Oryzias latipes: one gene and its partner. The main gene of each other region encodes a partner of the protein of the gene in region 2 in a complex. Links are inferred from orthologs where the notes say so. Each region holds a gene or a part of one and is shown on either strand. Other genes may lie near its edges.

Region 1 (4,251 bases), on a different chromosome or scaffold from region 2:
TTTTTTCAACATTTAGAATTCACCACTTTTGACATATCTGCTGTTCTTGCTTGTAGAAATCAGATAAAGGACACCAGTTATGTCTATTTGTTTATCTACTTGTTTATTTATTTAAAGAAATAATTTACAAGCTCAAATTAATTCAAAGGAAATATTATTTGAGGGAATGGTGGTTTAAAGCAGAAATAGGATATACCTTTACCTGCAAATAACCTATATATATTGCAGGTATATACCTATACCTGCAAACAACAAAGAAGTAAACAAAAAGCCTATCTTACTTTTGATTAGCACATTTCTACATTTACAGATTTGAAAGAAGAATGCATCTTTACATTATTACATACATTATTAACCCACATGACAATCAAGTGTCAAATGAAATATTTGATTCCATGTCAGTGAAACTTTCTAAGAGCGTATCAGATGTGACACAAACACACATGCACAGATCATAGGCAGCTGTCCTTCATGATGCCAGGACTCTCGATTGCTTTTCTCCTGCGAGCCACAGCATCTAAGATCTTCTTCCTGGGCCCCAACTGAATGCGAATGCTTTTCAGGTCATCATCAGAGCAAAGCAGAAGTGCTTCCAAGTCCAGATGCTCTCGACTAAATGCAAGTGTGAACTGTGGCAGGGAGAGGGCAGACAAGAACACTTCTAAAGGAGAGTTTTCCTTGTCTTCATCATCATCAAGTCCCAGATCGTCCTGATCCCAATTAAGGTCATCGTCATCAACCTCCCCATCACCGCCGGCATTTTCCTCCCCCTCAAAGAGCTGATTCTGAACAAGGTAGCCGAGACTTTCGTTGTTCCCGCTGGGAAGGTCTTCCGCATCCATGTTCATCTTCTTCATGAAGATCAGACCTCCAAGACCAGGTCGGTTGAAAATGGATTGCTGGACTTTTCCTGATTCTTCCTCGCCGTCCTCATCAAACTGGTTTGTCATTTCCTCTTCTAACATATCTTCGTCCTGCTCGTTGAAGACTCCGAGAAATTCTGGCTTATCAGGTGCTCCATTGTCCTGTTTGCCGTAGATAACGTTCGGATCTCCTGGCCTCTGCAAAGTGCCTTTGTCTTTCATACCAAGCCTCTTCTGCAGTGTACCTTTGACCCTGGCTGTAACGGAGCCAGTTTTTTCTGCAGCAATCAGCTTGGAGAATTGCTCATTAACTCCAATCTTGTTTCCATCCGTAGATTCAGCTGATCCCATGCTTTCATTATCAAAACTGCCTGATCCTCTGTTCATTTTGACCATCTTACTCTGATGCTTCTTCTTCACCTTTTCGCAGAGTTTTACTCGTCTCTCTGCTTCTTTCTGAGCCTCCTTCTTCAAGTTGGCAACCTTTCTCGAATTCTGATTGGTCTGCCTCGAAGCAGCGGCATCCAGAAATCGCACGATTTCCATGTGGCCATGAGACGCCGCCACATCCATGGCTGTGTGGAAGTCATTATCCAGAGCGAAGAGGTTGGCGCCAAAGTTGACCAGGAAGCTTACGATGTGCATGTGGTTGTTTGATGCAGCATGATGCAGCGGTGTGTTCCCCCAGATGTCACTTTTGTTGGGATCTCCTCTGTGTGACACAAAGGGAAAAGGAATTTTTAAATGTTTGAATGTTAATATTATTGATACTTTTAACAAAATGTCTTGCTTCACAAATGTTAATCGCAGTATAATTTAAATTATAAGTCTAAAGAAAAAAGTTGGATGCAGGCTGATGTCATTCTGATGCAAAATTTGTGTGGGTAAAAAAAAAGTTTAGAGCTAAGGGAAAAAAATTACAATCCAAACTGTTTTTTAGCATGTTTAGAGTCAACTTTCACTGCAAACACTCTCTTTTTCATTAAAGTTGTACATTTATAAAAAAGATTACTTCATTTTAAAGGTTCAGTTCACTGGGATTTTATGTTGACATATCTTGGTTAAGACCATGGCAACCAGCACATGATTGTGGGTTGTTAACCTATAAAATAACTGCTCACAAAATCCACTCACAGCCCAGAGGCTCTGAGGCCGAACATATGTTTTCTTATAAAATCCATTCACAGCCCAGTTACTAATCATCTGCTCCACATTTCTAACTTGATTGTTAATGATATTCTCAGGTTTTATGGCAAGAAAGCACAAAAAATGAGATTTCTTCAAATTGTATAAACAAGAGAACACAAAGGAATAAAGGTCAAGCTAAATGGTAAACTATTAAGATTGGAAATCCTCCTGTGATTGACCTTTTTGCCACAGCAATAAAAGTTTTGATTGCTGTATTCCAACCACGCCTTGTTATAAATTTTATCTCCTGCGGGTTACGACAAAAGCAGAAGTGTTTTCAGTTAATTTAGACATTAAAGACAAAGCAAGTTAAATGTATTAATTATGTTACAGACATTTTCTCTGATGCTCATGCTACATTTTAGCCAGATGGTGAGAGGCTTGAAGAGGGGGTGGTGAGGATAGATGAATGCCTCTTTTGTTTCACATCAAGGATGTGGCTGATTGAACATTTGGTTCAGCTCATGGGAGAGAATTGAGTTATTTGTTTTTTGTTCATAATGAGGCTGGGGGAAAAAAACAAAATTCATAACATGAGGAAATAAACCAGTCAAAATTTTTCTTTTTAACCTTTGGCCAAATATTTCTGTTTATTTCACCTGTGTATATATCTACTTGGTTCAGTTTTGAACAACAGAAGCCATCATATTTACAGTATTTTTTTCATGGTAAATTTTACTCCCTCCTCAAATATATAATTTTTACAGATAAACAATGTGAAAAATGTAAATTTTCAGAGTAAAGTGACAGACAAATTCCTTACTCTCTGCTGCATATGAGCTGAAGAGCTTCGACGTGTCCGTGAAAAGCAGCCAGGAGGGTGGGGGTCATACCATCTTCATCTGCAGTGTTCAGGTCTTTCCTCGTGGCCTCCTTCAGTAGGTCCAAATAACCATCAGCCGCTGCTTTGTGGTACCTAGACATCTTCACAAAGAACTGAAAAGAGAGATCTGTTTGTGTCTCTTCTTTCGTCCTCTCACCACAGTGCAAGATGAACAGCGGCCGCTGCAGATCCAAGCTACAAAGTGATCACTGGGCGTATAAGCAGCTCAGAGCCATAAAACAAAAGCAAAGTCCAGTTCTCTGCTGTCAGCTGCATCAACTCATCATTGCTGCTCTTTTTAGCTCACAATGTCACATAGGAATGTCTGGTGTGAACTAACAGCTATGACATTCTTTTTTTGAATACAGTCCCATAATATTAATTTGTAAATAATGATGATGATGATAATGTCTTATTCCAGAGATATATCTTAAAAGTCAATACAAATATGAAAATATACAAGAAATATCCAAAAGGGAGTGAGAAGAAGTAAATGCTTTATAAATTCTCACCCCTACGCCCGCCATTACTACTATTATTAACTTTAATGAGTACATATTCCGTATCATTTATGGATAAATATACACATAAAAACATAAACAGGTGGAAACATCTGAGACACATTTTTCACGTGTAAACACTCATTTCATTCCTTTTAAATCTTACACAATTCAAGTTTTACTGATAAATATTTCAAAGTTTATTTATGTTTTGTAAATGTAACGATAATAATTATACTTACTGAATTATAAATATGTTTACTGATTGTTGTAGACAAAATATATAATAGCTCAGAGTTGTTTCTATTTTTATTTTATACATTTTGCGCCTCAACACAATGCACAATTATTGAGTGGATTTTATCTTTCTGTCCGCTAGGTGGCAAAAGAGATTTGTCGTTGAATTTTTAGTATGGGCCGAAGAAGAACTTGTCAACAGAGCTTGACCAATCAAAAGCAATCATCCTCCCTGCTGTTTCTTCCGGGCCGCTCAGACTCTGAACTACACCATGAAGTTGTGGTTGTCAAACACTCTTTGGTTAATGTTTTCACCGCTTGACAGATCAGACTGACCTCCAGCTATCCTCCCCTAACTTACTGTGGTGAATTCCGTTTTTAATCGTGTTCTAACCGGAAACTCTCGCGCAGAGATGTCAAACAACGGCGGTTCGGCTGTCGGCCTTCTGTCCTACGAGACGTTGGTTCATGCGGTGGCAGGTGCGACGGTGAGAAGTCGAGACAGAAACGAAAGTCTAAAACCCGATTTATATGTACATGTACTTTCAGTCCAGATGATTCCCGTGTTTGGTGTGGGTTAGTTTTCACGCAGCCCTGTTTTACAGGGGAGTGTGACGGCCATGAGCGTGTTCTTTCCTCT
Region 2 (3,166 bases):
AATCACGGCCCAATGAGGCTGCCAAAGACAGCCACGCGGGACCATCTGGGGAATTAGTGACACTGCCTTGTTGGTAAAACTCTTTCAAAACAAACCTCCAAAGTCTAAAGCAGAGTTCCAAAGAATGTCAAAAGGCAAGTATGAATAAAAATGACCTGAACTGTAATGCTGACCATTAAAATGAACCTTTTCCAATTATTAAAGAACATTAAACTCAGACAGTGTGAATGAATTTGTGATGACATTTGCTGCAGAGCTGAGAACAATCAATAGAAGAATGTGAAAGCTGGCATGTCGCTGCTCCCTCATCAGGACTGTAATAGAAGCCGGGATGAATCAGCCTCCTCATCTCCTGAAAACCAACCGTCTCCCGTCTGGATGGACACTTTTGTTTCCCTGGAGATGGAGCCAAACAAAGGCCACCCTCGTTGGCAGCAGCTCCTCTGCGGACGTGCTGACCTGAACAAACATGTTTGTTCCAGGTGCTCTGAGGCTGCAGGGCTTCACACGCCGCCAAAGCCGCGGAACTGTTCAAAAATGTACAGACTTGTCCCTGCTTCAGCGTGTTTGCACACACGTCCCTCTGGGGGGGTCACAGAAACTGAGCAGAAGCTTCTTCTTTGTTCAATCAGACCTTTATTAGACACTTACAGACTCAGAAGAGGCTCTACTGATCACAGATTTTCATTAACCTTTAACTGACTGACTTTTGCAAAGATCAGCATCTCTGAGCTCCACCACCGTCAGGATCCACATGTGAGAAACACAAAGTATTGACTGGATTAACCTCTGACATTCACCGAGACGGTGGCGAGGAATATCGACGGACGGAGTCGATCTGCAGGACAAGACGCTCGATCCGAGAGAGAAAAAGTGGAAGCGAGCAGACGTTTCAAGAGAAGAGATGAAAGAAGCTCCAGGCGGATCAATCGGGTCTCCTCCAACTGCGTCTGACGAGACTAGAAGAAGGTCCTGCAGGAGAAAGACAGAAATAATGTTTTCACGTCTAAAAATGACCCTAATCAGATAAATCCAAACACCACAAACGAAGCACAACAGAACACACGCATGCCGGTTGATCAGCAAACTCCTTCAAAATCCCTCTTAGAACCAGATTCCAGTGAGAAAACTCCTGTCAGCGCGTGGATCGCCCTCACCTCTTCCATCTGCTTCTGCGCATCCTTTTCTACAGTTTCTACAGTCAGTGAAGGCTGACACGCTTCAAGAAGAGGCTTTCTCCTGGAAGGAGATGTCTGACAGCGTTTTCTGCAGCTCGTCACACATTTGTTGAGATGTCCGGGAACCTTTCCTGCTTCACAATAATTCACACTCCAAAGCTGTTTTTTCCAGACTTTTCTTCTAAATTTCTTCATTCATTCTTGGAATCTTTAGGCGGGAAAGCCGACAATTTGGAGAAGTCTGCACAGCTGAGAGTATTAACAGCATAACTAACCGCTATATACATATGTATAGAATCCTTGAAATAAAAGAATGTTTTCAGTATTTACAGATGATTATTTGAGAAAACTATCTTGAAGCTGAATTTATGGCAAAGCTGAAATGTTTTTTCATACAATTTTTACAGAAAAAAATTAAGATTTTCTGTCAACATCCTGTTTTTTTTAATTCAAACCCATGTTGGCAGAAATCAGAGGTTTAAATCTTGGTTTTTTATCTTTCAAAGATAAAACAAAAGGTCTGAATGAACTAAATATGATCCACGCCCCTTCAGTTTGATTTACAAAATCTAAAAAACATTAAATACATATTTTATTCGGCCTTTCCGGTGCTTTGATGTGAACGTCCAGCCAAACAGAATCAGGTGAAGAAACCTCTGCAGGATCTCTTCCCGAAGGCCGTCGCCTTCCAGGGTTTGCCTTTTGCTCTTGAGCTTTAAGCTCCGCCCCCTGACCTACTCCTGCACTGCTTGAGTTGACGCCGCGGCTGAGCCTTCAGCGACGTATAAAAGAGTGGAAGAGGAGGGATTTCTTTTGAATACGATGGTGGATTTCCAAATAAAAGTTGGAGAAACCTGGGTGGAGGCTTGAAAAACCAACCTGGTCCATGCCTTTACAGGGGGGGGGCTGCAGAAGATGTAACAGTCTAGAGGAACAGCATCTATCAGCAGGTCTGCTGAAGGCGGCAGGAGGCCGGCAGGACCAGAACCGGTCTGGACTAGGCCTGGATTTAGCGGCCCCGTTTAAATTTGGGCGTTTCTGGTGATAAAACAAGACCAGAACCATCAGAGTTTGATGGCAGAGACTGTCACATGTCCTCATAGAGCGGCCCAAACAAAAACAAGTGCCACACCACACGCCGCCGCCCCTCCCCCCCCGTGGGACGAAGAGGAGGATGAAGGTGATTACCAGAGAGGAAGCACTAGTGCTGAAGGACGTAGCCGTGTCTGTACAGAGCTGCGCTGCCTTCAAACGTCTTTCTGTTCACGGTAGGACTGACTGACGCTGACTTACAGCTGCACACACGCACACACCAACGACCCATGATGCACCGCTGCAGCCGGCGTTTCAGCAGACTGTCAATATTGACTGCAATGCTTACACTTCATCCTCATAGTCTTTCGGAGGAGAAACTGCGATCACCACATCGATCCAGTCCTGGAGGTGGGGGGAAAAAAAACGTCAACCATCCTGCAGTGAAGAAACATGCGAGCTGCTGTTTTAGAACTGGACCGGTACCCCGCCGTTCCCCCAGGCCCGCGCCAGAGAGTTCTGTCCCTCTGTCAATGAGGCATCGAGCAGGATCTTCCCATTCACAGCCATGAGTTCATCCCCCGGAGCAATCCCCCCTGCGCACATGCACACACACGCACACACACACACACAATAACAGAGTCAGCTGATTCCATCAGGGGAAGTCGGTGCGTGTCACTTCCTGTCTTCTCTTGCATGGCTCTGGTCAGGCACTGACCGTGTTTGTCGGCCGCTCCGCCCTCATAAACTGATGACACCACCAACTTTCCCAAAGGAGAGTCAGCCCCCCCCTCCAGGGACAGGTCCAGCTGTCCGGCCTGGAGGACAAGAACACGTCAGAACCCGAAAGAGACGTTAAAGATGTTCTGAAGGAGCAGCTGAACTCGCCTTTTTGATCCTCAGCAGCCTCACATCCCGGCCGGCGATCTGCTCCGAGGAGAACTGTTGGAGGAGGA

What was found.
Region 1: harmonin (region 2) and anks4b share a complex: the UniProt entries of both Homo sapiens proteins name them as parts of the IMAC/intermicrovillar adhesion complex. The link is inferred for Oryzias latipes from reciprocal best matches to the Homo sapiens genes USH1C and ANKS4B.

What each region holds. Positions count from the first base shown.
Region 1 is NC_019866.2:11,708,532-11,712,782, forward strand, and holds anks4b (ankyrin repeat and SAM domain-containing protein 4B), read right to left. Parts: upstream 3,092-4,251; 5' UTR 2,976-3,091; coding exon 2,815-2,975; intron 1,576-2,814; coding exon 453-1,575; 3' UTR 83-452; downstream 1-82. Other genes in the region: peroxisomal membrane protein PMP34, read left to right, coding at 4,025-4,099, 4,217-4,251. UniProt on the Homo sapiens protein: As part of the intermicrovillar adhesion complex/IMAC plays a role in epithelial brush border differentiation, controlling microvilli organization and length. Plays a role in assembly of the complex.
Region 2 is NC_019864.2:31,127,826-31,130,991, reverse strand, and holds the end of harmonin, read right to left. Parts: intron 3,153-3,166; coding exon 3,099-3,152; intron 3,029-3,098; coding exon 2,929-3,028; intron 2,807-2,928; coding exon 2,697-2,806; intron 2,616-2,696; coding exon 2,560-2,615; intron 973-2,559; coding exon 960-972; 3' UTR 617-959; downstream 1-616. UniProt on the Homo sapiens protein: Anchoring/scaffolding protein that is a part of the functional network formed by USH1C, USH1G, CDH23 and MYO7A that mediates mechanotransduction in cochlear hair cells. Required for normal development and maintenance of cochlear hair cell bundles.